Mus musculus: one gene and its partners. The main gene of each other region encodes a partner of the protein of the gene in region 5 in a complex. Links are inferred from orthologs where the notes say so. Each region holds a gene or a part of one and is shown on either strand. Other genes may lie near its edges.

Region 1 (3,405 bases), on a different chromosome or scaffold from region 5:
GGCCCTTGCTGTTCTGGAACTAGCTCTGTAGACCAAGCTGGCCTCAAACTCAAGGAAATTTACCTGTCTCTGGGATTAACCACCACTGCCAGGTTCTTCCTCTTCTTCTTCCTCTTCTTTCTTTCTTTCTTTCTTTCTTTCTTTCTTTCTTTCTTTCTTTCTTTCTTTCTTTCTTCCTTCCTTCCTTCCTTCCTTCCTTCCTTCCTCTCTCTCTCTCTCTCTCTCTCTCTCTCTCTCTCTCTCTCTTTCTTTCTTTCTTTCTTTTGACAAGATCTCTTATTTCTCTGGAACTTATCAAGTAGGGTAGGTCTGTCTGTCTTCTCTCTCTCTCTCTCTCCTTCTCTCCTCCCCTCCTCCCTCTCCCTCCCTCTCCCTCTTTCTTTCTTTCTTTCTTTCTTTCTTTCTTTCTTTCTTTCTTTCTTTCTTTCTTTCTTTCTTCCTTCCTTCCTTCCTTCCTTCCTTCCTTCCTTTCTTCCTTTCTTCCTTTATCTCCCACTCTCTGGAAATTATCAAGTAGGCTAGTATTCTTATCTAGCCTCACAATGCTAGAATTACAAGTGTATGCCATCACACTAATATTATGTGGGTTCTTCGTATTAACCTCAGGTTCTTATTCTTATAAGGCAAGTTTTACCAACTGAACACAGTTCCTTATAGACAATCAGTTGTGCTTTAAATTGTAAATTCTCACAGTTTTTCATGATGCTGTGCTTTAGGGCAATACTTCTGAGTGTTTTTTTTAAACTTCGTGATACACACAGAATATGAAGAGATTTGCATGACACCTGTAGTATATCAAGGGAGGAGGGTGGGCTCTGTGCATAATTGGTCTAGAGGGCTCACTTGCCCCCAGGCCCCATTTAGCTGCCCAGAGTGCTGTGCATTAATGTATGCCTTCTTTAATCATTTCTTTATACAAGGCAATGGGTGTGCCTCAAACCTTGCTTCCTTAGTTGTTTAAATAGTCTGATGCGGGAGCTCTTTGCTGAAACATTTCCCCTTTGCTTAGATTAAAGGAAGAACTATCCGTGTGGACCATGTGTCAAACTACCGGGCTCCTCAGGAATCAGAAGATGTGGATGATGTGACTAGAGAGCTCCAAGAGAAGGGCTGTGGGGTTAAAACACCCCCATCAAGTCCTCCTGAAGTCTCTGAAGATGAAGATGCCAAGCTCACAAAAAAGCACAAAAAAGGTAGCATATTAAAACTCAGGAGAAGAGTGGGTAGCCTTAGTGTCTTTGCCAAGCATGCACAGATAGTCAACAATCCACTCCTCATTGCAAAAGGGGAAGGTGTGAGAATGCTTACTGTGGTCACGAAAGCAGAGGTATCTAAGGGAGGAAGGCTAGTCGTGCGGGCAGAATTAATGTGCTCTGAAACCCTTGCGGATCTCAAAGTGATATTGTTTTTGGAGACAGCCCTTCTGTGTGGGGTTGTTTTGTACAACTTGACCCATCAGGAGTAACAGGTGTCCTATTTGATTCTTAGAGACATTTGTCAGGAGGCATAACCTGTGACTGCTTCCTGCTGCTGCCTGGGATGTGTATAGTACATGTGCATTCTCCATCTGCTAGCTAGCATGGGGACGTTTTGGAATGTCTCAGTTTTACATGATCTACAGAGATAAGAAAGGCACATTTTAAAGAGATTTTTTTTGTGTGTGTTTTCTTTTTCTTCTTGATTGCCCCCTTCCAGACAAAAAAGAGAAAAAGAAAAGGAAGAAAGAGAAGACGGAAGGGCAGGCCCAGGCAGAGCAGCCGTCCTGCTCCAGAAGCGCGACAGTGAAGGAGAAGAAGGATGAGCGCGCTTCCAGGAAGCACAGTAGCAAGACTTCCGAGAGAGCACAGAAGTCAGAACACAGAGAGAGCAAGAAGAGTCACTCGGGCTCCCCTGATGGCAGGAGTTCCTACCATGCTAGGGCAGAGGACCCTGAGTGCAAGGCAAGGAAAGAGAAACCCAAGCATGAGCACAAGTCCGCCAGCAGGAGGGAGGCCGAGGAGAAGAGCAGAGAGAGGGAGAGAGGGAGGAGCTCGGGGACTCATTCCGGCAGGCACAGGGGGCATTCTGATGGGCGGAGCCATAGAAGTAGAAGTAGGAGTAGGAGTCCAGATAAGTCCCATAGGCACAAAAAGTACAGGCACTCTCGGGAGCGGGACTCCTACCATGGCAGTGACCGGAGACATCACTGAAGCCTGATTCAGCTGATTTTGGTTGCATAATGTCAGTTTCTCTTGGTTGCTGTTATTTCTGTATATAAAGATTCAAGATTGAATTCTTTCAATCCCTTACCTGACAGAGTTGGTGAAAAGATCAATAGCTAGATATCTACATTAAAAACAAACAAACATGATCCGTTGTATCTGGGAAAATATTTAGTATTGACCAGAGTATGTGCCTAAAATTTGGCTTGTAAATTTGACCCTTAAACCCACAAACCTCTGATTTAAGATGAGATTGCCAGGGAAGTCAAAACACAAGGCAGTGCTGGAGTGCTAGTCTCCACGTTAGCTATTTAGAGCCCAGCACTGTAGGGCCTACCAGACGGCAGGTACACCTGTGAAGAGTTGCAGCTCATGAGATTTGATGAGCTTAATAAGGATGTGATAGGATTCCTGAGGCCAGCCAGTTCCTTCCCCTTTGCATTTCCTCTTGCCATGCTAGGGATGGAACCCAGGTCTTTGCACATGCCAAGTGCTCTGCTACTCAGCTAGAGCCCAGTTCCCTTTATTTGGTTTTTAGTTTTTGATATGGTTACAGACATGTCTGTGTATTTTTTCTTTGTAACTTATTTATTTGTATTGAGATGAAATTCATATAAAATAAAGTTAACCATTTAAACAGTTCGGGGCATTTGGTCCACTCAGTATTGGATTACTAAATACGATTTTCTTGTATCCGAACATTGTTTATACATTCTCTAGTCGTAGTAGAGACAATCCCTGAATGAGCACAAACAGGCTTTTGTTTCTGTGGATTCAGCTCTTTGATACTTTTCTCATTTCTGTGAAAAAAGCCCTATCACTTCTCATGCCCACTCAAATTCATAACCTTTTATTCTTTAATTACTTACTGTTACTTATAAATATTGAATAATTAGATAAATGGAACCTGATGGAGTCTGTTTAGTGTACATTTAGGTTTTAGGGTTGACCACTTGTTTAGATAAACATTTAGGGAACTCTTCTTGGGGCAGACTGATTTTCCCTCTCATTAGTCTTTAATTGCCCATAGTTCTTCACCTAGGGCTGGGGCCTTTGAGATTTTCCCTATCCACCCTGGCAAGTGAACGATGTAATTCTTGAGCTCTCATGTGAGCAGCCACATTGCTAATAGACTCATGTCCCTTAGAATCTTTCCACCCCTTCCTCTGGGATGTGCCCAGAGCTTTAGGTGGAGGGATGTGTT
Region 2 (3,925 bases), on a different chromosome or scaffold from region 5:
TTTGAACATAGATGCAAAAATCCCTAGGCAGGCATGGCAGAAGCTAGCCACAGGGAACTGTGATGATGTCTGTGGCCTATTTTACTACTGAGGGCCATGCAGATATCTGAGCTGTGTGCTGCAGACTTAGGACTATACTAATTTGAGCGGCCTGCACTGCCATCTGAGGCCATGGTGACATCTGGCATGTACTGCCGATAAGAGCCATGTCTGCGGTCCTACTACAGCCAGGGTCTGTATTGATGTCTGTGACCCATGTTACCACTGAAGACCATGGTCTTTGCTGTGACCTGAGGCCATGTTGGTGTCCTTGTTACTGGATGGGCCTCGTCTGGGTCTGTGGTCCTACTGCAGCTTGAGGCCATGTTCAAGGTCTGTGCTGTCATCAGAAACTTCTGCTGTGAAGAGCAGGGAGGCTACTTTTGCTGTGATATTGATGACTGCAGACGTACAGCTAAGACAGAAGACCACGAAAGGCTTCTGTGACAACCCCTATCCCAACTCTCCAAAAAGTACTAGCCTACAGAGGAAGGACTCAGTTCCTTAGGAGGCAGGCCACAGAGAGTCTGACTATGCTCCAGTGACTACAGAGATAACACAAATGCGACTTAGTTTTATTTTCTAATTTTTATTTATTTTTATTTTAACTTGTTTTGGTAGGGAGGTCACAAAGTAGTGTGGGGGACAGACATGGAAGGACTGGGAAGTGTGACGAGGATGTATGATGTGAAATTCTCAGAGAGTCAATAAAAATGTTATGTTAAAATATCCTAACAAAATGCTTAGAAACTGAATCTAGGAACACATTGAGAAGATTACACATTATGACCAAGTAGGCTTCATTCCCAAAAGGCAAAGGTGTTTCAACATACATATACAGCAAATGGAATACAGCATATAAACAAACTCAAGGACAGAAAAACATGAATTATTAAAGTAAGTGCTGAAAATCCATTTGACAGTGATAAAAGCTGTGAGACTGTAGAAATACATGGAAATATGTCAAAATAATAATGGCTATATACAATAAATCTATAGCCAACATTATATTAAATAGACACACTGAGCATTTCCTCGGAAATCAGGAATGAGATGTCCATTGTCCCCTACAGTATCAAAGTCTTAGATATAGCAATTAGATAAGAGAAGACATAAAAGGGACAATAGGAAGGGAGAAAACCACAGTATCCTTTCCTATTTGAGATAGGTTCTTATTAGGAGTTCTGGCTGGCCTGGGGCCTGTTTTGTAGACCAGGCTGGCTTCGCACTCATGGAGATCTGCCTACTTCTCTCTCCTGCCTGCGAAGCTCAAAGGGTGTGCTACTTCACCTAGCACATTTCCTGCTAGGTTTTTCAGTGAAGCTCCTCAGACTGTCTTGGAACTCGTGGAAATTTTCCTGCCTCAGCCTCTCAAGTGCTAGATTACAGATATGGGCCACCACACTCTGTGTGACTCATGTCCTTTTGTCTGTTTATTTTGGCCAGAGAGTTCAGCCCAGTTCTAGCCACATTTACCAGTCTCATTGTGTTCTGGGATGTTTTGATTCTTTTCAGTGTGTGTGGCGGGCTGACAAGTTGGGTATTTTAACCTGTGGCACAGGCCTAACTTAAATACTATATATATTAGGGATTATCTAGAAACAATTGTGTCTAAGGCTCTGACTTTTCTTCTCCAACCATCAAGCAGGAAAAAGGTTCAGGATTCTCAACAATAACCTTTTTTTAAAAAGAATCTAATCACCCATGGCAAGCAAAGAAAGTGCACGAGTCAGAAATACCTTTTAACCTAAGCCATGTTCGGGGACTAGAAGTGACTAGTCCTTTGGAAACTGGAGCCAACCCGTGCTGTTCATGGGCAGAAGTTCCCCTTTCTCTTCAGTGCATTATCAGCCCAGAGACATTCCTAGAGGTCAAACGTATGTGCTACTAGCATAATCCCGAGCAAGAGTCCTTTACCATATGGGCACAGGAGCTGGAGAGGTGGCTCAGTGCTTAAGAGTGCTTACTGTACTTCCAAAGGATCCAAGTCTGCTCCCATGCAGGGCTCCCATGCAGGGCAGCTTACAATTGTCTGTAACTTCAACTCCTGGGGAACTCAACATTAATGGTCTCTGAGCATTCACATATTTTCTCTCTCTCTGGAAGCATTTGTATTCACAATCACATACTCGTTCTCTCTTACACACATAAAACAACAACAAAATACAATAAATCTTAAAAAAAAAAGAGCCTTTGAAGACCATTCAAGATCCAAACTCAGGAAGTTGTTCTGAGATGCAACATTGCAGATTCTATTGTGTTTGTCTGGGGACAGACTTCATAGATTTCATGTTCCAAGGGTAAACTATGTACTGAATGGGGAATTTAACTTGTCCTGAACCCTCAGCAGGGAAATGAGGCTAAGAAATGAAGTGTTTCCACTTTGATTATCTCAGCTTCCACCCAAATTTACAGTTTACATACTGGTTTTGATTTCATCTTTCCACTATTTAAAATGGTTTTTATCACACTCTAAAGTTTGGTAAACAGTTCTGCTCTATCTAGTCACATCCCCATCCTTGCATCTCAAAGGAGGACAGAACATCTGTCTTCTCCCTGGCATCTGAGCGACGGGCAGTGGTCCATGTGTCAGTCTTCATCTGAGTCACCGGGGCCCATGTACTGGCAGATGGCGTTATAGTGGAGCTCCACCACCTGGTTCTCTCTCCTAAGTTGGACCAAAGCATGACTCTGCGCTCTGTCCCGACTCCTAAGAAGTCCCACCTGAGGAAGGATGGGGCAGAGTAAGCAAGGTCAGCCAACATCCACAGTGATCTGATCTTCAGACTCCTATTTCCAGACATGGGACTTACCTTTCCAGCATGTGGTCCGAGCACCACCATCACACGGTGGCCTTCTCCCTTGGGAATCAGGGTCTCCAGCATATCTTCTCTCACATCTACAGATGAGGGAGAGGGAATGAGGTCCACAGCAAGAACCAGCCTGGTTGGTAGGGCCTTTCTAATATTTATTAGAGCTACTCTTATATCCTGCTGATAGATGGAGTCACACTCTACCCATTTCACAGGTGAGAAAACCAAGGAGTAGTTTACAGAAGTTACCACAATACAGGAGCATTTTCCTACAGAAACTATGTACTGGGCATGTTTTCAGCCTACCCTATAGTGCAAGCTCAGTACACTCCTTCCTGTAAAGGCAATAGTTTTGATAGGGACAAACTGTCATTTCCTGCTACTCTAACTTGGAAAATACATAGGGTTTAGGCTATCTCTTTTAAGGAAGTATCTGCTCTGAAAGAGGATGCTGGGTCTTGCAAACAACCTGAATCCTGCCTAACTTCCCAGATCTTGGCCCGAGATTCTTTTTTTTTCTTTTCTTTTCTGTACTTTTCCATCCCCCTTTCTTTCTCCATTTCTTTTCTTTTTAAAGATTTGTTTATATGACTACACTGTAGCTGTCTTCAGACACCCCATCAGCAAATCCTACCGGTGTGCGCCACTACTACCGGCTTCAGACACCCCAGAAGAGGGCATCAGATTTCATTACAGATGGTTGTGAGCCACCATGTGGTTGCTGGGATTTGAACTCAGGACCATTGGAAGAGCAGTGGGCGCTCTTAACTGCTGAGCCATCTCATCAGCCCCCCTTTCTAGCTTCTAAAAAGTTTTTTTAGATTTTTTTTTTTTTGGTTTTTGAGACAGGGTTTCTCTGTGTAGCCCTGGCTGTCCTGGAACTCACTTTGTAGACCAGGCTGGCCTTGAACTCAGAAATCCCTCTGCCTCCAGAGTGCTGGGATTAAAGGCGTGCGCCACCACGCCCGGCTTAGATTTTTTTATATGCATGAGTATTTTACTTGCATGTTATGCCTGTAGCACCATGTGTGTGCCTGCTGTTCACAGATGTCAGAAGAGGGCGGCAGACAGAT
Region 3 (4,517 bases), about 32 Mb from region 5:
GTTAATCACGAATCTTATTTTCTTTGGGCCCTGTGTATTAGTCAGGGTTCTCTAGAGTCACAGAACTTATGGATAGTCTCTAGATAGTAAAGGAATTTATTGATGATTTACAGTCGGCAGCCCAATTCCCAACAATGGTTCAGTCGCAGCTATGAATGGAAGTCCAAGGATCTAGCAGCTACTCAGTCTCACGCAGCAAGCAGGCGAAGGAGCAAGAGCTAGAGCTAGACTCCCTTCTTCCAATGTCCTTATATTGTCTCCAGCAGAAGGTGTAGCCCAGATTAAAGGTGTGTTCCACCACACCTTTAATCCCAGATGAAAGGTGTAGCCCAGATTAAAGGTGTTTTCCTTAAACTGGGAGATTCAATCTTCTGGAATCCATAGCCACTATGGCTCAAGATCTCCAAACCAAGATCCAGATAAGGATCTCCAAGCCTCAAGATAAGGGTCACTGGTGAGCCTTCCAATTCCGGATTGTAGTTCATTCCAAATATTGTCAAGTTGACAACCAGGAATAGCCACTACACCCTGGTTTTTAATAACTTCCTTGGACCTATCTTTCTTGCTCACTGTCTCCTACTCCCAGAGTAGAAATACCTCTACACACTCTTAGAATGCTTTCATTTGTATTTATCAGCCCATATTCTCATTAAATTCTAAGTTCCAACAGCCAAGGGCTAAGGCATTCTCTTATTTATTCCCTTCTTCTTGTTGTTGTTCCCTATAGCTAGCTTCCAGCTCTCTATCCTCCAGCCCAGCCTCCCCTGTGCTGGGATTATAGACTTTTACCACCATATCCTGCTGACTAATACATTTTTTGTTCATCAAGGCTTCTTCAACACAACTGTCACAGGAGGTATTCAGCCCTCCACACCCATGGACTTCACAACTGCAAACTCAACCAGGGGAAAAGGAATGGCCAATGTATTAAACAGATAGACTTTCTTTAGTTACAATGGCCTATATAACGTAACTACTGGCATACTACCTAAGCTGTAGTGGGCTTTTAAGTAATTAATCTAAGGATGATTTAAAGAGGATGTGAATAGTTGACATGAAAATAGTGTATCATTTTGAGCTTCAGGAACCAGTGCCCCAATTACTGTAAGGTGGTGGCAAGCCAATAAATAAATGTGTGCCACACAGATGAACTGTGCTGCAAGGAGGAGGTTATTTGAAATGCCAGGAACACATGACACAGCTTTAATCACAACAACCATTTCAGACAAGTAGTAAGGGGCTGGGACTTCAGGCTCAGAGAGATGAACATCTCTCTCTTTTTTTTTTTTTTTTTTTTGGTTTTTTGAGACAGGGTTTCTCTGTGTAGCCCTGGCTGTCCTGGAACTCACTTTGTAGACCAGGCTGGCCTCAAACTCAGAAATCCGCCTGCCTCTGCCTCCCGAGTGCTGGGATTAAAGGCGTGTGCCACCACGCCCGGCTGAGATGAACATCTCTTGCCCTGGACCACTCAGGCTATAAGTAGCACAGCTAGGATTCTAATTCTAATCAGTATTGCTCCAAAGCTTAAACTTTCCCCCTGCATGCCATTGCCCCTTCTTCCAGGGACATCAGCCACACTGAATTCAACACCACCTTAACTGAATATAGGCTCATCTTAACTGGTAACACCACAAAGATTCCATCTATAAATGAGGTCATGCTCAAGCTCTAATGAAGAGAAGTGTGGAAATGAGGGACTAATTCGACCCAGTTCAATGGACCATACGGTAATAATACTGTTAGACCATGATACTGCCCCACAGAGAGGGTGAGCCACACTTTGTATCCTATCTAGTACTCTCTTTAAGCTGATAAGCATTTAGTAGACCTGGGGGTGGAGTGTGAGAATGGAATTAGCCCCCAGAGTTTCAACTTTCTATCCAAAATAGCACCTTCAGTAAGCTGCTAAACTTAGGGCTGCTGCTCTAAAGCCTACAAATACAGACATTTCCTTTTGTTCTGTAGGTTGATGTTGGATATCCTAACCCAACCTTTCCAGATTCCAGTGGCCAAGTTACTAATGGACATTTCATCTGAACTCTGTCTCAGCACATCTCTTTGCAATCTGGAAGTATAGTGTTTAATATAAATGTCTGCTCCATTACAATGTTCTGAAAGCTATATGGTCAACTATTTTAGAAAGAGGCCAGGCACAGGATGTGAACTGTTCCCATTTTAGTTGTTACTGTTAGTAGTAGATGTGAGTAATAGGATATGGGTCTTTGATTCCAGATCAGTTCCTGGCACTTTGGAACCCTCAGAAAGAGATTTTTGGATCTAGAAAGAAAGAAAGAAAGAAAGAAAGAAAGAAAGAAGAGGGAAGAGAAAAAGAAGAAGGAAAGAAAGAGAAGGGAAGGGAGAAAGAGAGAAATAAAGTGAGAAAGAAAAAGGTTTGAATCAGCTTTGCTATTCTTGGACACGACTTTCAATCTGTACATGGAACGACGTAAGCTACAAACGCGGGGAGAAAGTGAGTTAAGTTCTAGCTGCCTTTAACACAAGGAAGGCGCTGCTCAGAGGATGAGGTCTGAGCTGCCAGTGGCAGCTACAATCCCGCCCCGGGGCAGTGGAGCGGGGCCTGAGCTCGGGCCGGGGTCGGCAGCACCGCGCGGGCCAGGACGAGGAAGAGCTGCGGCCGAGGGCGCCACCGGGCAGCGCGACACCTCACCAGTCCACTCACCCCTTGCCGCCAGCGCCTCCAGGCTTCGGCCGTTTTTTGCGCCGCTTGCGACCGGCCTCGGGACCTCCTTCCAAGCCAGCATCTGTCCCAGACAAGTAACGCTTCAGATACTCAGCTTTGGTGAGTGGCGGAGCTGCCGCCATGGCAGCGGCGAGGGCGGGGCAACAGCTCGGCGTGGGGGACAAAATTCTTCAACGCGAAACGGTAGGGGTGGAGCCAGAAGCGGAAGCTTTAGGACGGGGACTTTTTGAACTGCTGGACTTAAAGACTTGAGCCTTAAGAGGCTCCAGGGGAGAGTGCGTGCATCTCGGGCTGGCTGTGCTTTTCCTGAGACGACGAATCGGTGCAACAGCCTGCAGCCCACGCTGTCTCAGCTGAGAAGCCACAGGCCGATGTAACATGATCCTACCCTGGCAGCATCAGCGCCAGAGTAAGGAAGAACACCTGTATGAATGGTGGGACTTACCATAGCTGTACCACTAGGGGCACATTCTTGAGCAGCGTTTTAATAATGGACGCTGTACCAAACGTTTCAATTTCAATCACTTTTATTGCTATAAATACCTTTTGGTGGGAAGTCTGCTGGAAGAGGCTTCCGGGTACCATTTAGGGGAAGTCAAACTTGTGACTATAAAAGTTTGATAGGTTTTTATCAAACCTGTACTGACCTTCTCACCTTTGATATGTCTTTCTAAAAAATGATATAAACTCTTCCCAGTGAAATGGATTCGTGGTCAGTGTGGCAAAGAAACCAGGAAGATTCTGGAGTTTCTTCTATAAAGGGTTAAGTGTTTTATGACTTCTCACTTAACCCTCACAATTTTTTTTTCTTTCATCCAGCACCGAGGATTAAACCCAAGGCCTTTTGCACATGGTATGCAGGAGTTCTATAGAACTACATCCCCACTCTTTTGAATGTTGAAGATCTAAATTGCCTAAGCTGCCCCTGAATTTGTTAGCCTTCCTCCTCAGCCTCTCAAGTGGCTGGACACCATGACCTACCCTTCAGTTTTATTAGCCTCCTTTATAGATAATAAGAACTTTCGGGTAAGTACAGGAACCCACACATCTTCATACTGCCTGGCTCTAATTTTTGCTAGCAGAGGCCAAACAAGGATGGTGCTGGTTATCCAGTTTGAATTCGTTTTGTCTTGAATCAGGGTTTTTCTGTGTAGCCCAGGCTGTCCTGGAACTTCCTCTGTAGACCAAATCGGCTTCAAACTCATAGAACCACCTGCCTCTGCTGGGATTAAAGGTGTGTGCCACCCTGCTTTTCCAGACTGCTTTAAGCTGCATGAGAACAGCTAGACTCCACACAGGTGTACCTGGCTCAGAGCAGACAGGATGGCCTATTGGAGTGAATCAAATGCTGCCTCTACAGCAGCCACCTCAAGAAAGATTTGCTTAGGAAACTAAACTGGTTTTTCCTTCCTCATTTCTTTTCATGAAGACGGACTCTCACTGCATGGCCCAAGCTGTCCTCAGTCTCCTCGGAGCTGAGTGTGACTCAGTGTGACCCAGCTTAGTCTAGCACATGGTAATCAGTAAGGACATGAACGCAGAGGCGGGTGTCGTTTAAAGGCCATCACTTTAATGTGGCGTCTTCACCTGTGCCTGCTCGGCCCCTCCGACATCCTTCCCTGCTGAGTCAGTACTTCACATGCCCAGAGCCAGCAGAAACTTGTATTTCACTTCCCCAGACTTCAAAGGTCCAGCACTGGAGGTCAGAGAGCTGACAGGCAAACGGTGATGGCAGACCGCCTGGTGTTTCTGGGATTCTTCTCACGCCGACTTTAAAACCTCCAAAAGAAGGTCAAGGAGCACAGTAGGGCTGCAG
Region 4 (3,797 bases), on a different chromosome or scaffold from region 5:
AAGGAGCTACTTCGTTATAAATATTTTTAGCTAATCTCAACAAGAACTTGCTTTCTTTTCAACTTCTCTGATCATGTATCAGCTAATTTACAGCCTCATTTTCTGGTTGTAACTTGTAAATTGGAGTTTCATATGTTTTAATCTTATAAGCTCAAAACTTTCTCTTACTTGCCTTGGGGATACACAGTCTCTAGACTTAAAATATGGGCACAAGGTATGCTCTGTGGAGGAGGGTACATTCACACACTGGGTAGGGCTACTCTGTCCCTTTGTTATTTAGCATTGAGAACATGTATCTGGTCCCCCTAACCTGCCTTTCCTTTAACCTCCTCGTATCTGGTGGGTAAACAGTTTGCCCTGGAAAGGGAGCAAGATTCCTTAATGGCTCTCTCGTTTCTGTTTCCCACAGGCCAAGATGCCCTTCGATGCCAACAAGCTGTACTGTAGTGAAGTGCTGGCCATCCTCCTCCAGGACAATGACGGTGAGTGCCCTCACAGAGACAGGCCAGGCTGGGAGCCACACTCAGTCTCAGATCCGGTGAACTTGCCTTTGGCATCGCCTGGGCTCTCTGCTTGCTCTCCGTGCAGCTTTTGTACTCTGTCAAGCTGTATTGATTTTGTTAGCTGACGGATCAGTGGTAGACGGCTGTAAAATCTGACAGTTGGCTTCTTTTTTTTTTTCTCCCTTTATTTTCCTTCTTTTAGAAAACAGGGAATTGCTGGGAGAGCTGGATGGCATTGACGTGCTTCTTCAGCAGTTATCCGTGAGTACCTGTTCCTGTGGGCCTGCTCTCAGTGGGAGGTAGAAGTAGAAATATGGGAAGGGGCAGCCACATGGGGACCAAGGGCAGGTTGGAGGTCACACTGGAGCACAGGGCTTACCTTTTTTTCTTACTCACTGGCCCTTTCTGATCGAGTGTCATGGTGAAACTGGCACAGCCCTTCCCAACTGCTGATCCAAAAGTAGGGAGAAGTAGGGAGCTCTCCTCTGTCCCCAGCCAGGATGAGCCAGTTGTGTTCCTTTCTAGCACCCAGCACGGTTCAGCTCCTTCCCCTTTGGTCCTTCCCTAGAAGAGTCTGTCTGCTCACTGAGGTTCCAGGGGAGCGCAAGGAGAGCAGTTTCCAGCTCCATGGCACGAGGGTCGTGGTGGTCGGGACAGTAGGGATGGTTGTGGCACTGCAGGCGGGAGTGGGAAGGTGGAACGTGCCTTTTGCTGGTTGAAAGCAATGTAAATCCAGTTGAAATGTTACCTGCTGGCAGTCTGGAAGTGCCATCAGGGTTCCTCCTCAAAAACCTTATCTGTGTTACTCCAAAACAGCACTGAAAATAGATCATTTGGATACAGGCTGAAGAGTGTTGAGTGTCTGAGACGGCAGTTTGCATACAGCTTTCCTGCCGTGCCAGCCGCTGAGTGACTTGGCCTCCACCCTAAAAATAGAGCTTTGTGGTGGGAAGCTGTTTGCGGTTCCCATGAAGTGCTGTGCAGTCACTGATTGCAGCCCCTATGGGGCCACCTGCCCAGCTGGCTCAGGGGCTCTCCCAACCCGTGCTCAGCGCTGACATGCACAGCTGCCCAGATGCATGCCTGGGCCTCGGAGCCCCTGCTATTGAGTGAGGGGAATGCAGCAGCCGCGCTGTGAAGAAGCACCTCTTCACCTAAGATAGGATCGGCTACTCTGGGTTGTGGGTACCGTAGAAAGGGGGTGAAGTGGGGCTGGACGGAGCAGGGACAAGGCTGTAGGGCTTTCTGCCAGAGTTGGTTTTGGAGCTGAGCTGTGGTTTCAGACGTGTTCCCTCTCAGTTTCACTGTGTGTGTCCAGTATGGCCTTGTCTCTTTCTGATTTTCACAGAGGCCAAGGCCTGAGGTGTGCTGTTTTGTTTGGCTGACTTGCTGCCTTGACGCTGTCAGTCAATCTCGGCCCAGTGCTTGGCTCAGTGTTTTTATGTGAACTTGTATATCTTTATTTAGTGCCCACACCTAGAAAGCTCAGTTTCTCTAAGCTGGAAACTGGCGAGAGCTTCATTAGTAGAGTTCACTTTCCTTGGTGGGCTTTGGAAACTGTAGGGTGCGCATTTTTTAATGGCTCCGTTCTACTCTCCTTGGCAGGTATTTAAAAGACACAACCCCAGCACCGCTGAGGAGCAGGAAATGATGGAGAACCTGTTCGATGCGCTCTGTTCCTGCTTAATGCTCAGCTCCAATCGAGAGCGCTTCCTGAAGGGCGAGGGGCTGCAGCTCATGAACCTCATGCTCAGGTTTGCCCCAGTCCTCACTGTGCCTGTCTGTCTGCCCGGCACTGCTAGCCTGACTTTAGGATGCGTAGCTGTGGTCCTTCAGTCCCTTGAGTTTCCCATTCATCCAGACAGTGTTCATTTAGGGATGTGTCTGAGCTTTCCTGAAGGGTGGGCTGGCACATAAAGCTGTGCCTCGTTTGTGTGCCGGGTGTCAGTTGGTGACGCAGCCACTGCCCTGAGGATCATGTCCTTGTTTCTTTTATTGTGTTGGTTTTGGAGAAAGCTAAGCATTACCTTTTGGGCTTGTTCGTCTCAAAATCTGTATGCTCCATAGATCTCTCTGTCTATATTCCTGCCGTTGACAGCAAAATATTCATATTTATTCATTCAGTAATGAATTCTGTGTGTGCCGTGTGCCTAAGCACAGGGAATATGAAATATGAAAGATGCTTCTACAACTGTGGGCTTATACTTCCTTTAATGTATCTTTTTTGTTCTGCTCTACTCTCTAAAGACAACACTGCTTCAGCTTCTCAGTTAGTCCAAAGAATCTTAAAGTTGGAAATAAAGTGGAGAAGTGGCTTGTTTGGGTGTTTTATTGAGAAATGTGGCTGGGAAGGAAAAGAGAGTTCCTGAGGAGGTGACCAGAATGGAGTACCACTAAGGGACAGCATTTGAAATTGAGAGGCTCTGGGTGCTGCTTGCAAACACATTAGGAATTTTCTAATCATGGAATTCGTGGAGTTGAGCCGGGGTCAAACATCGTAAAACCTCTAGTCACATGCAGTGACAACTGAACAAAGATGTCTCTGAAAGTGCCTTACAAATTGGACGTATACTTATTAAGCATAATTTAGACTGTGGGTGTTCATTCTGTTTTCTTTTTTTTTTTTTTTTTTTTTTTTTTTTTTTTTTTTTTAAAGATTTATTTATTTATTATATGTAAGTACACTATGTAGTTGTCTTCAGACACTCCAGAAGAGGGAGTCAGATCTCGTGATCGGATGGTTGTGAGCCACCATGTGGTTGCTGGGATTTGAACTCCTGACCTTCGGAAGAGCAGTCGGGTGCTCTTACCCACTGAGCCATCTCACCAGCCCCCTCATTCTGTTTTCTATTAGGATATTTTTAGTTACTGTGTTTGTTAAGTGTCTTGCCAACAAGGCCGAGTCCTCCCAGAAGCTAAAATGCCCCAGTCTGTCACCCAAGAGTAGCCCACCTTTGGGCAGATAGAGTCTTCTTGGTTTTATTGTCAGTACTACTATTATTATATCATCATTTATTATTATTTTGGTGGGAGTTACTTGTTTGTTTGATTTAACATTTAGTCCTGCCACATTCTACCGTTTCATATTGTTTCCTTTTTAACTTCCCGTGGTATTTGTCATTCTGTGACATAAGTGTCATGAGAGGGCAGTAACTACTTGAGGGACACAAGGAACATTGCGGCCATTTCCACTATCATGACGTAGTCTACAATGACCAGTTTTGTGTTTTAAATGACTTGGGGATTATCAATGTACAGAACTCTAAAGTTCCTTTTCTTTAAAAGGTTTGTGGA
Region 5 (4,233 bases):
TTGAACTCAGAACCTCTGGAAGAGGTGGTGCTCTTAACCACTGAGTCATCTCTCCAGCCCAAGTACTAAATTTTTAAAACCATTTTAGAAACCTTTGGGCAAAAAGAATCCACACAAAGCATAGTGACACCCGGGATCCACCCTGTGACTGGCAAGTAAGTCTTTGATAAATATTTGTTGGTTTACACGAAATGAATTAGTGAGAATGCAGATCACAGCATCTTAGGAGACCTACCCAATGCTCACATGTAGTAGAAACACAAAAAGGATAACTGATGCTTCTCTCAAAACTCTTCAATTACATTCGGTGTCCCAGACAGAAGGCCTAGTATCAATGCATGATAGTATCAATGCATGGGACTGGAACAAACCTCATTCTCATCTCTAATCATTCATCAAAGAGATACAGCTCACAAAAATGCTACTTATTTCCAATTACCAGGATACACACAGTTTCTGCACACAACTGAGACAGACATGACGGACAGTACGGGTACCTCGAGTTGGGCGGTCCCTGTTTTTGTCCCTTGCAGCAGCTCTCTCTCTCTCTTCCAGTTCTCTCCTGAAGTCACGGTTTCGAACCTCTTCAGGGGCATCCTGTGTGGTTTGTCTTAAGTAGGAAAAACAAAACAAAACACGTCAAAAATGTTGGCCTCACTTGTCAAGGAAAAGAACCTATATAGCTTCAACAATTTAAGACAATCCAGAATGTAACTGTCTGTCAACAACAAAAAGGAAGAAGATAAGACAATATCCCAATCTGAGGGTTAATACACTCGTAGTGTTCCTTATCACTAGAACAACAAACTAAAGCACACAATTGCCTACAACAGAATGTCTTTGGCTTTTAAAAAAAAAGATTTATTTATTTTATGTATATGACTACACCATTGCTCTCTTTAGACACACCAGAAGAGGACATCAGACCCCTCCGATGGTTGTGAGCCACCATCTGGTTGCTAGGAATTGAACTCTGGACCTCTGGAAGAGCAGTGCTCTTAACTGCTGAGAAATCTCTCTAACCCATGTCTTCGGCTTTTTAAAACAGTCCACCAATTCAAGGGCTGTTAGAGCAACACTTCCATATTCACTACAGCTCCGTCTTCTCTGATGTGATTATCATGACTAATGAGTGCTTCATCTACACATAGCAATTCCTGGTTCAAAGGAACTTATGCTGGAAGACTGTCTAGCAACTTTACCTGTAGGGCGTAATTTTATTGTAAACTTTTTTGAAATACTTCTCTTTGGAGATCAGTAACCTAAATACTATAATTTAGACATGACCATAAGTCATATATATACATACATATATATAGAGAGAGGCTTGGTCCCATTCTGTGAACAAGACAAATGAAGGCCTTCTTACCTGTACTTTATCTTTGTATGAGAGGGAAGATCTCTGCTTGAATACTGCTTGGAGAGCTGGCTCAAATCCCCTTCTCCTTTTCCTCTCCCACCTCTTGCAGGTTCAAAAGTTGGCCTGGCTGCTGTTGTCATCTTTTAGTCTTCGGCAAAAGTGAATTTAAGTTATACTTTCATTTTACAGATAACTCAAAAATATCTATTCTTAAATCCTTCTCAAACTCCCCAAAATTGCTTAGTTTGCTTCAACACAAGTTCCTAAAAATCCGAATTATGAAACTCAGGGTGTTTACTAGGCAACTCTTATTCAGTATAAATAACTACTATGAAGATCTGAGTTAGTGCTTCTGTTCTGGCTGGGTAGCCCTGGGCAAGTCTTCTAGCTCGTTTCTGTCATTTGTGGAATGCCGACATTTCTATAGTATTATGAGATTCCCATACATGATGTCAGATCTTGCACAACAGTGTAGTGTAGCTTTTAAAATAAATGACTTAAAAAAATGTTATCCCACTAGCACTAGCTTCTCTGAGATTTTATTTTATTCTTTTTTAAAAAAAATTTATTCTTTTTTTTTTTTTTTTTTAATTATAGGATCTCACAATGTAACTGTCCGGCCAAGATTTGCTGTTCTACCAGAAACCTCACACTACAGCAAAGAACCCAATAAAAAACAAATTTCTTTTAAAGTCACAGTCAAACTTATTATGTTAAAATTTGTTTAAAGTCCCCAGTGACATTTACATGGGCAACCATTACCCCAGAATCTTGTTGACTCAATTTTCTTCTAAAGCAGTTACCACAACATTTATCAAGGCTGTAACTTCCGCGATGCTCAGAAAATCGGAACTCCACCCAACCAAGTATCAAGAACCCATCCTGAACTGGGTATGATGGGGGTACTCCTGTGATTCCAGAGCTTGGGAGGTGAAAGCAAAAGAATCGGGAGTTCGAAGCTAGCCTAGGCTACAAGAGAACCTTTGCCATTTTTAGCTGTCAAATAAGAATTGCAGCCTAACTGCAGGGCTACTAAATCTCCGTTAGCTTAAGCAGCTGCTCACACAGATCGTGTGTGAAGTGGGAGTTTCTCCCCATCCCACCCTCCTTTGCTTTTCTCAGTGTCTGAGGCGCTGCACCGGTGACCGCCCCGGGCTCGGCTTCAGCTCCGGACCACCATCCCTGCACCGCGGCCTGTACGATCGTCACGGGCTGCGGCGGCGACTCGGCTCCCCGGTGCCACCCACACAAGAACCACAAACCACCATGCCCGGCTGCTCACTCTGGCGGGGGTCCTACGCAGCACCTTCCGAAACTCACTCATGAACCAATGCGACCCTTAGCTCCCAGAAATCTCGGCGCCGGGGGCGCCAGGCCCAAGACCGGAAACAAAATGCAGAGCTTCCAGTTTTTACACCAGGGGCTCGGTTGAGACCCGGAAGCAAAACCTTCGCACTTCCAATGGCTGTGGAGAAGATGCGAACTCCACACCCGGAAGCAATTCCGGAGTTGTGTGTGTGTTTTTTTTTTTTTTTTTTTTAAACCGTCTCTCACAGGCTGACGCAGTGACCAATCAGCAAAGACACGGGAAAAAGATGGAATGACGTTGCCTAGGGGCGGAGCCAAGGCAGCTTAGGGGGCGGGCGTTTGAAACCGGTGCTTCATAGTCGACCCCAAATATCATCTTTTTTCCTTTGCGAACCAATTACTTAATCTCTCTTGCGTCTTTTCCTTTCCCGACCCCCTCCCAGACTCGTTCGCTGCGGTTCTGCGAGGACGGAGGCGCCAGGAGCCGGTCCGCGTCTCGCAAGAGAGATGTGAGGAGAGCTTGCCAACTGACCGACCCAACGGCTCCTGCTCCTCAGTAGACCCCGCAGCCTAGGGACTAGAGTTGTCACTTAAGTGGATATGAAGAAGGCGCAAATAAGTACGGGGGCAGCCACGAGCTTTCCAAAGGTACCATTCCTGCGAAACCACTAGCCTTGAAGGCAAGGGTTATAGTCGCATTGCTTGTTAAGATATATAAATATATAGATATATAGCTATATGCATTAAGCGTTGTAGCGTGAGGGGAGATGCTTGTGAGCGTTTACGATAGTGACAATTTATGGAGCAGTGGGCCTAACTGCCAGGAGGAGCACGAGATGGGATTAAGATGGCTTCGCCAACGTTGTCTTGTGCCCCATCATTGAGATCTTGGGGACGGCCGATGCTCGGTAAAGAGGATTCTGTTCTCCAGTTTATCTCAAGTGGAAGGGTCTCCTAAAATTGAACATTTCCGTTCTTTTCTGTCCTTCCTTTGGAACTTTTAAATGAAGAAAGAGAATTAGAAAAGAACCCACTCCCTCCCGAATGTGCCCGCTCCCCAAGTAGAAGGTGAAAGCTTCATATTTTTGCCCTGAGCCTCACACAAAGGACACCGCTTTCACATTAGTGACTCAAACCCAAAGATGGAGACCCTCTTCCTTCCCTCGTCACATCCTGTTCACCTGCCACTCTTGTCCAGTATTGTGAAAATTACCCTGAAGTTCCTTTGCTTGTCACCACACTCCTTCAGGCCACTGTCATTTCCTCTTGATTTGTAATTGCTTTCATAGGGACTTTCCTAGTTTTGCACAAACAGAGTGATTTTTTCAGATTACCAGGTAGTGGTTTTGACACTTAGGATAAAACAGCCTCTTGCTTTTACTTACACAGTCTGCCTCCTGCCTGCCTTTAGTCACAGGCACACCACACTCAAGATACACTCAACTGGACATTTCTGTTTCTTTCAACAAGGCAGGATTCCATTGTTTCATTTGAGTTTTGAGCCAAGCTCTTACAGTGCAGCCCAGGCTGGCTTTCAACTTAAGTTCAGGCATGCATTCATCTGT
Region 6 (4,418 bases), on a different chromosome or scaffold from region 5:
CACCTTAGCTTCCCACACCAACTGCTGGAATTAAAAACATACCACACTTTAAAAGACACTAGCAACTCTGGGTGGGACAGGATAAGAAAGAGAAGGCCCAGCGCCTCTTACTCATTGTACACCTTCCAGGCATTGCATCCATGCTGTGACATCAGCTCCAGATTCTCGATCCGGACCGCCTGGTGCTCCAACTGAGCCATAGAATTGTTTACACATTCTTGCCATGCAGTAATGTCATTTTTTTGACCTGAGGAAGGGGCTGGAAGTTCATATCTGAAATTACATAACAAACAAACCAATGTATCTTTCAAAGCCTTCATCACTCCTTCCAACAGAATTCTCATGGACATATGCCCACTACATAAAGACAAAGACACAAATTATCAACTCCCGACCACACATGCACAGAGACCAAGGATATAATGTAGATCAGGCAGTACAAAGAAACCTGTTAGTTTGGAAACTGATTTACAGATAAAACTAACAAAAAAAACCCTATTTCCATAAATGTGAACTAGTTAAATGAGCTGTGACAGTCACCAAGACTCTCATGTCTCTTGTTCCTATTTGTCTATCATGACCTTTCTTAGGTAATGTCTAATTATCAGCTTTAAAAAAAAAAAAAAAAAGACTTTTAAAAGATTAATTATTTCATGTATGTGAGTACACTGTCGCAGTCTTTCCACACACCAGAAGAGGGCATCGGATCTGCATTACAGATGGTTGTGAGCCACCATGTGGCTGCTGGGATTTGAACTCAGGACCTCTGCAAGAGCAGTCAGTGCTCTTAACCGATGAGCCACCTCAGCAGCCCTTTAGGCAACTTTTTAAAAAGCTGATAAGCAGTGCTGGAGAGATGGCTTAGCAGTTAAGAGCAGTGACTGCTTTTCCAGAGGTCCTGAGTTCAATTCCCAGTAGCCACATGGTGGCTTACAACCATCCATAAAGAGATCTGACACCTTCTTCTGGTGTGTCTGAAGACAGCTACAGTGTACTTATGTATAACAATAAATAAATCTTTTTTTTTGTTTTTTTTTGTTTTTTTTTTCCAAGACAGGGTTTCTCTGTGTAGCCCTGGCTGTCCTGGAACTCACTTTGTAGACCTTTGCTGGCCTCGAACTCAGAAATCTGCCTGCCTCTGCCTCGTGCGCCACTACGACCGGCTGGTACTCTCTTTTTATTCTCACTTCCTACCCACAGCAGCAAACACAAACACTCTTCCAACCACTGGCAAAGCAGCTGTTACCATAGCTCAACCTCATCTTACCGTTTCATGCTGAGTAATTCAATCGGTTGTCGAGCAGCGAGTCTTTCAAATTCATTTCTCATTATGTCTGTCTGATGCACAAACACCACAAAGAATTAGTAACAGAATCATGCTGAAAATAATGAATGCAGTTTACTGAGATTTTATACTTTGTACTACACATTATAGCGAATCTTTTCCCTTCTCAATCACTACTCAAAAAAAAAAAAAAAAAAAAAAGGATGCTAATATTTGAACCCAGGGCCACTGACACATCCCCCAGTTGAGGTTAATTCTATCTAGAATCTGAAGAAATAGGCATATTCTTTAATTCCATATTCTGCCCAGGCATGAAAGGAGGTGGACATAGAAGAGTCCACCTCTCAAGGATTAACCCTAAACCAGCAGTTTTCAATGCCCTGTAGTCAGCCAGCTGTGGAACTCTGAAAACAGCTTTAATCCCAGCCCCACGTCACGTTGTAATTCACAACACACAACAGTCTTGAATCATTTCAGGAAGTCTCCGCTGCTGCATGACGAACTGACACAGTGTAAACTGTTTGGGTACAGTGTAAATGGTGAAGTCACATGATGTAACATGGACCAGAGCTTAGATCTGGGACTTGAGTTTTCAATTAATTTCTGGGTTAGTACTTTTTACTCTTGCCAAATTTCTTGCAGCTCCCACATCAGTTATGAAACCCCCACTGAGGAGTCACAACCCAGTTTAAAAACCTGGCATCTAGATCCGAAGTATCACACATCCCTGCGCATGGAGCAGTCTCCTTTCAGCCTGAAAGTGCTTCTAACAACATCTAAGTGGTGTTTTTTGGTTGCACTTGTAGAATAACCACTTAAAAACAGCATGCAGTTAGACATGCTTGTTCAGGCATTCATACACCTGTTAACTATCTGAGACTTGGTACAAAAGAATCTCCCTCCAGGGGTGGCAAAGAGTACAGGTACTTAAGATTATAAATATTAAAATCTCGTGAGTGATACCTGTTCTTGAGTGGACCTTAGAGAATAAAGGGCCCTTTTGTGAAATGTACCATGACTCTTCTACACACACACACACACACACACGGAGGTGCACACTATTAAACAAATCTGCAGAAACTAATGGAGCATTTCGCAGGTTCTTGTAGTACGAAGCCCGTGACATGCGCATCTGGCGGTTTCAAACCGACTCACACCTACATGGCACTCAGTACGAGCTGCAGGCACCAGCTAACTTGGAAGGTGGAGTTCACTTTACACAGCTAAAGCCCTCACTCCCGTATCAAAGTCCGCAAGCCTCCTGGCTTACTTCAAAGGCACACTTACTTCAAAGGCAGAATAATCCGGGGCCGTCAGGTAGCTCAGGTAGTTCTTGGTAGGTCGGTATCTGCGCGTCTCCTCCTCCACCAGGGCCGCCGCCTAAGAACGAGAACAGGCCAGGGTCGCGGCGGGAAAGGGCGGCGTGCCTTCGGCGGACCCGCCGCACATGACCCGCACTCACCGCTTCCCGCACGCCGGGTGCCTCATAGCCTTGGTCAAAATATGGTAGCGCATCTACCACCACCTCTCCGGCTACCAAGCCCGTGCCCGCCATCGCGCGGCACTAGGCTTCAAGAGCGCCTTCTGAGTCTGCGCAGCCTCGGTTCTAATTCCACTGCGCCTGCGCCTGGAATGACGTCACACACGCCGCTGCCTTTGGGGCTTCGATTCGGGCGCACGCGCAGTTGGTAATTATAGCCACTAGGCTCTAAGCCTAAGCATCACGTGCTGGCGTGCCGGGGTGCCTTTCTTTGTATGGGTGCCGTTTTTTTTTTTTTTTTTTTTGAAGGAGTGGGTAGGGCAGACTTCGGAAGAGGTGGTTGCTGGACTTGGCTGGAGGGGAGAAATATATTTTCCACATCCTTTAACCTTCCATTGTTTAGACTCACATAGTGCTGGGCTTCTAGCGCTCCCTTGCTTTATCCTCATTTCGCAGCCGGTCCCTTAAGAATGTTCTTTTATAGAAACTAGAAATGTGCGCCTATTTTCCAATTAAATTTTTAGATCCAACAACCTGAGGGGTGCGGCTCAATGGCAAAACCAGGTCAGTCCGCAGCACTGCAAACACCTCATCCCTTCCATGACTGTAATTATAACTATAAAATGCCTCATTTTAGAAGCTCTGCCTTGGAGTGGAGGCAACTCAGGGGAGAGCTAGAAGCCCAGAAAAAGGGAAACTCACAGGAATATGCTAGGGTGACCATAAGACTTGAAGCAACAGGGGATATAGGACCTGAAATGGCCACCTCCTGGAACCAGGCAAGACTTCCAATGGATTGATGGGGACACCAATCTACCCACAAAACCAAAATTTGTCCTGCTTACAAGATGTGTGGGGATAAAGATGGACTAGAAACTGAGGGGATGATCAAGGCCCAACTTGAGACTCATCCCATGAGAGCAAGCCCACCCCTGACACTATTAATGTTTTGCTACACTTCCAGACAGGAGAGGCTTCGCCCAACAGCTGCTGGAAACAGATGGAAAGATCCACAGCCAAACATTAGGCAGAGCTCTGGGAATCTTGTGGAAGAAGGGGAGGAAGGAATGAAGGAACCAGAAGGGTCAAGGACACCACAAAAAAAGCCATACAGAATCAACTAACCTGGTCCCGCAGGGGTTCACAGAGACTGATCCACCAACCAAAGAGGCTGCAATGGACAGTCCTGGATCCTTACACACATGTAACAGATATGCAGCTTCTGTGGGACCCCTAACAGCTGGAGCAGGGGCTGTCTCTGACTCTGCCTTTGGACCCCCTTCCCCTAACTGGGCAGCCTTGTCTAGCCTCAACAGAAGATAGGCCTAGTCTTACTGCAACTTGCTATGCCAAGGCTGATATCCACGGGAGGCCTCCCCTTCTCTGAGGAGAAAGGGAGAAGATGGGGAAAGGAGAGAAGAGAGGGAGTAGGAGGATAGGTGGGAGGGAAGGCTGTGATCAGATAAAATAATGAGAAAATCTTGCTATTTTTTGTCTTTAGGGCCTATACAAAACCCAATCATTTTTGCCTTTAGGATTTGTGGTAATAAAATATTACTCCACGTTGCCTCTCAACCCCTCAGGCTGTAGTTAGCATACATTCTTTGTAAAATATCTTCCAGACTAAGAGGTAATGAAAAAAAGATTGTGAGA
Region 7 (3,797 bases), on a different chromosome or scaffold from region 5:
GAAGCTTTATTTAACTGATTTTGAAGTACAATCAAATCCAAATTTACTATCTGTTCAATGCTCTTAAACCTGAATTCTGCAGCTTGTATGTTCTAAATATATTCAGCCCCGTAACTATCTTCTGGAAGTCTACTTACAGAGGAAGGATGCTGCTCAAAGGGAGTCAGAGTCTAAGTCTCATTTTCCTACTCACCTCAGAGTCCTCCAACCCTTTAAAACAGTCCAGTGTTCCCAAGAAACCCACCTTTGAACCACTGTAAAGCCACCAGCTATTGTTGCACATGTTATGAAGTGATGGGTTTCTTCTTGTTTTTCAATTCTGAGAATCTTCTATAAGTGCATTAATGTGATTTCACTGTGTTTTTAAAAGTCCTAAACCATTCTAAGTTGATTCTTCTCAGAGACGGCATGAGTCTGTCTTAGCAGAGTGTAACAGTGCAGGGCTCCACTGTTTCTCAGTTGCTTTCTGTATTCTGAGAGCTACTCAGAACTTCCCCTCAGACTGAACATTGGAATCATCTATGACACACCCATCTAGCACAATAAGTGCCTTTTAAGCATCAGAGACTATTTTTCTTTAATATATTAGCCTTAAGATCTGAATACAGTACATCTCACCAGGAGCCAGATAGACAAATACCTTGACTTTTGCCTTCTAGGCCTTCAGCACAAAGGCTTCCCATAAAATAAATCAGAAAGACTGCTCGGTAGGTAGTATTTGCTCTGATCTCTGAAAAACTTTAACTCCACTGACTTTGTATATTACATGAGACATTCTTGTGGGACACGATCACTTTTGAAGAAGCGTTGCAAGTAAATTGATCTGACCTTGAATGGGGCTCCATAGATAGATTCTCCACCAGTCCCAGTGCCTGTGGGATCTCCACCTTGGACTATAAAGCCAGGTACAACTCTATGAAAAATGGTGTTGTCATAGTAGGCTGAAAAATAATATATCAAGTTCTAAAAGTTAGTATCACTTTAATTATCACAGTTAATATACAAACAGAGCCACAAGATTTAATTTCCAGAATGCTAAATTGGCTTTTAAACCAAAACCTTTCCTCTCCACTTCTTAGAAAACAATCAATTTTCAAACACTATATGTTTCTACAGAGACAATGGTGGTTTAGTTTTGGGGGATTGGTTTGTTTGTCTTTAATCTCCATAATTATCAATTATAAATTACTGTTTTTAAATTAAAAATAAGAAGTTTAATACACACCAATGTCTTTCAACTGGAGGAAAGAGAAGAAGCAATTCTGCACCCTGGGGGCATTTATCAACATTTTCAAATATTTTTGGCTATCAAAACTGGGAAAACTGGGAAATACTACTGGCATCTTGTACAAGATGGCAAGAATACTGCTAAGCATCCTGAAGCCCAAAGGATTGTTTCTGCAACAAAAAATATCCAATCCCAAAGGCTAGCACTGCTGGGGCTCAGAAGCCTAGGTAGGAGATAGCTCATTTTTGCCTCTTCCATTTCTCCTGATAGAAAATTAACTTAATAATGTACAAAAAATATAAACCTGCAGATAGAAGTTCTAGCACTGTCTGTGCAGTCTCCTTTACGTTCAATAAGTGAAATAACGTACTTTATTCTAATTAAATATCTAAGTGATTTTTCAGAAATTATTTATATATAAAAATATAATTTCTAGTCACAAATATGCAGCATCAGTGGTCTCCCTTAGAATGCCTGGTATGAGACCAGAATCATTGAGAAGGAAAACACTAGTTAAGTAGGACAGAAGCATAGGACATCCCCTAAGAAAACTGAAACTGTTGCCTTTTGCTTTCTTTTCCTTCCTTTGTAACAATTTTATATTTTAAGTCCAAGATTAAATCTATAATTACAGATATTTGGGTTTTTCAAAGGATATGACCACCTTTCTTTTTTTTTTCCAACTTTTTATTAGGTATTTACTTCATTTACATTTCAGCCCCTCCCATCCATGCTTTCAATCATTTGCTTTTATTCTGAAAACTACACATTGTTGCTGCTATTGCTATACTGAAAGGTGCATTATAAGACTCAGAAATATTGTAACTTCTTCAAATCATTCTTCCTAAAGATTAAATAGAGTTATCTACATTATTTGACTCACCTAAGAAATACCTATCTTTTTACAAGTGTATGCATGTTTTGCCTGCATGTATGTCTGCACACCACATTCATGCTTGGTGACCATGAAGGCCAGAGGCAGCACAGGATCTTCCAGAAGTAGAGCTGCTGCTGACTGTGTACCGCCATGCGGGTGCTTGGAATTGGACCCCAGACCTCTGACAGGGCAGCCAGTCCTAAATATTAAGTCTTCAGCAGACGTAAGAGCTGAAGTGCCAAGCCATCTCTCCACCGGTCTTCTCAGGTTTTCAGTTAGTTAGCAATAATTTCATTCAATTCTTACCTGTTTAATCATTACAAATATTGCTCTGGTTATCTCTATGTCTGTAAAATTTCCATTCATTTCTTCTACTTATAAAAATGGGAGGATATTTTTTTTCGTTTTGATGCAGGTAAGCTTTGTCAGCCCCCAACTGAACCTCATGCTTATTTCATTGCTGTATTCTGTCCAGATTCTTTCTGTCTATTTATTCACCTGCTCCACGGATTGCAATTTACCATTCATCCTTTCTAGTGTTTTTGTGATTTCACTTTCCTGTAAAATTTGAGCTTCTTTAAACTTATTACCAGAAGTCAGACTTTTCTTTGTCTCATGTGTTTCTTAGCTTTGTTGACAGTTATTCTAACTAAACTACCTGTCTGATTTTATTTCCTTCCTGCCTGCCACAGCAATTACTAATAATGGTCTTTGCAGACCTGTTTTCTTCGTCTCATCTGAGGGACTGGATTCTTTTATCATTATGTCCTTACACTTTCCCCTGTCATGATAGATTTATCTAATTTCTTCTATTTGGAGAGCTTTGTCCATATCATATGACAGGACACTCTGGATTCTTAAATACTTTGTTTCTGACACCACAAAGAACACTGTCTCTAAAAATCAGGTCTAACTGGAAGACAATGACTTGCCACCACTGGAGACATTTAAAGTCGTATGTAGTACATTCTATACGCCAACAAGAAACTGTGAAAACTGTATGAAATGTAAAGCTGCATAAACAATTATTCAAGAATAAAAAATACTAAGTGAATATAAAATTTTGCAAAGCTTCTTATAAAGAAAAATTATCATGTTATGACACAGAGTGATAATGAATCAGGCCAGGTGGTAAGCTTTATGGAAAGCAGACTTTGAACAAAGTGATAAAAATTGGCTTTACTTCCATAAAAAGAGAGTGAAAAACATGGAAAGAAAGGAAGAAAGAAAGAAAGAAAGAAAGAAAGAAAGAAAGAAAGAAAGAAAGGAAGGAAGGAAGGAAGAAAGAAAGAGAGAGAAAGAGAGAGAGGGGGGAAGGAAGGAAGGAAGGAAGGGAGGAAGGAAGGAAGGAAGGAAGGAAGGAAGGAAGGAAGGAAGGAAGGAAGGAAGCAAACAAGCAAGCTAGCTAATATGAGGATTGTGGAAAAGGAAATAGAATGTTCAGGAAATAGAGGGAATGGCTGACTGGAAGCACATGATTAGTGGAATGAAAAAGAGTGGAAAGCTAGAAGCCAGGTCCTTAAAGATTCCAATATCATGTGTATGGACAGAAGGCAAAGAAATAACAGAGAAGAACAGGCAGGAGGCAACTACAGTCATGGAGATGGAAGTCCAGACGACCTAGGGAAGAAGCTGAAATTTGGTTTAGTGGTAGTTAACACAAGTTTCCAGGAGAGAGAAAAATTACACCAT

Evidence for each region.
Region 1: Cwc15 (region 5) and Rbmx2 share a complex: the UniProt entries of both Homo sapiens proteins name them as parts of the minor spliceosome. The link is inferred for Mus musculus from reciprocal best matches to the Homo sapiens genes CWC15 and RBMX2.
Region 2: Cwc15 (region 5) and Gpkow share a complex: the UniProt entries of both Homo sapiens proteins name them as parts of the minor spliceosome. The link is inferred for Mus musculus from reciprocal best matches to the Homo sapiens genes CWC15 and GPKOW.
Region 3: Cwc15 (region 5) and Bud13 share a complex: the UniProt entries of both Homo sapiens proteins name them as parts of the minor spliceosome. The link is inferred for Mus musculus from reciprocal best matches to the Homo sapiens genes CWC15 and BUD13.
Region 4: Cwc15 (region 5) and Ctnnbl1 share a complex: the UniProt entries of both Homo sapiens proteins name them as parts of the PRP19-CDC5L splicing complex. The link is inferred for Mus musculus from reciprocal best matches to the Homo sapiens genes CWC15 and CTNNBL1.
Region 6: Cwc15 (region 5) and Bcas2 share a complex: the UniProt entries of both Homo sapiens proteins name them as parts of the PRP19-CDC5L splicing complex. The link is inferred for Mus musculus from reciprocal best matches to the Homo sapiens genes CWC15 and BCAS2.
Region 7: Cwc15 (region 5) and Cwc27 share a complex: the UniProt entries of both Homo sapiens proteins name them as parts of the minor spliceosome. The link is inferred for Mus musculus from reciprocal best matches to the Homo sapiens genes CWC15 and CWC27.

Annotation. Positions count from the first base shown.
Region 1 is NC_000086.7:48,707,881-48,711,285, forward strand, and holds the end of Rbmx2 (RNA-binding motif protein, X-linked 2), read left to right. Parts: intron 1-1,009; coding exon 1,010-1,193; intron 1,194-1,695; coding exon 1,696-2,189; 3' UTR 2,190-2,839; downstream 2,840-3,405. UniProt on the Homo sapiens protein: Involved in pre-mRNA splicing as component of the activated spliceosome. As a component of the minor spliceosome, involved in the splicing of U12-type introns in pre-mRNAs.
Region 2 is NC_000086.7:7,706,949-7,710,873, reverse strand, and holds the end of Gpkow (G-patch domain and KOW motifs-containing protein), read right to left. Parts: intron 2,939-3,925; coding exon 2,853-2,938; intron 2,764-2,852; coding exon 2,629-2,763; 3' UTR 613-2,628; downstream 1-612. UniProt on the Homo sapiens protein: RNA-binding protein involved in pre-mRNA splicing. As a component of the minor spliceosome, involved in the splicing of U12-type introns in pre-mRNAs.
Region 3 is NC_000075.6:46,281,337-46,285,853, reverse strand, and holds the start of Bud13 (BUD13 homolog), read right to left. Parts: upstream 2,843-4,517; 5' UTR 2,824-2,842; coding exon 2,681-2,823; intron 1-2,680. UniProt on the Homo sapiens protein: Involved in pre-mRNA splicing as component of the activated spliceosome. As a component of the minor spliceosome, involved in the splicing of U12-type introns in pre-mRNAs.
Region 4 is NC_000068.7:157,817,346-157,821,142, forward strand, and holds part of Ctnnbl1 (beta-catenin-like protein 1), read left to right. Parts: intron 1-409; coding exon 410-482; intron 483-705; coding exon 706-764; intron 765-2,108; coding exon 2,109-2,257; intron 2,258-3,797. UniProt on the Homo sapiens protein: Component of the PRP19-CDC5L complex that forms an integral part of the spliceosome and is required for activating pre-mRNA splicing.
Region 5 is NC_000075.6:14,499,191-14,503,423, reverse strand, and holds the start of Cwc15 (spliceosome-associated protein CWC15 homolog), read right to left. Parts: upstream 2,806-4,233; 5' UTR 2,643-2,805; intron 1,509-2,642; 5' UTR 1,501-1,508; coding exon 1,370-1,500; intron 611-1,369; coding exon 498-610; intron 1-497. UniProt on the Homo sapiens protein: Involved in pre-mRNA splicing as component of the spliceosome. Component of the PRP19-CDC5L complex that forms an integral part of the spliceosome and is required for activating pre-mRNA splicing.
Region 6 is NC_000069.6:103,170,195-103,174,612, reverse strand, and holds the start of Bcas2 (pre-mRNA-splicing factor SPF27), read right to left. Parts: upstream 2,959-4,418; 5' UTR 2,841-2,958; coding exon 2,748-2,840; intron 2,666-2,747; coding exon 2,573-2,665; intron 1,380-2,572; exon of another isoform or gene 1,339-1,379; coding exon 1,268-1,338; intron 274-1,267; coding exon 112-273; intron 1-111. UniProt on the Homo sapiens protein: Required for pre-mRNA splicing as component of the activated spliceosome. Component of the PRP19-CDC5L complex that forms an integral part of the spliceosome and is required for activating pre-mRNA splicing.
Region 7 is NC_000079.6:104,806,892-104,810,688, forward strand, and holds part of Cwc27 (spliceosome-associated protein CWC27 homolog), read right to left. Parts: intron 942-3,797; coding exon 829-941; intron 1-828. UniProt on the Homo sapiens protein: As part of the spliceosome, plays a role in pre-mRNA splicing. Probable inactive PPIase with no peptidyl-prolyl cis-trans isomerase activity. As a component of the minor spliceosome, involved in the splicing of U12-type introns in pre-mRNAs.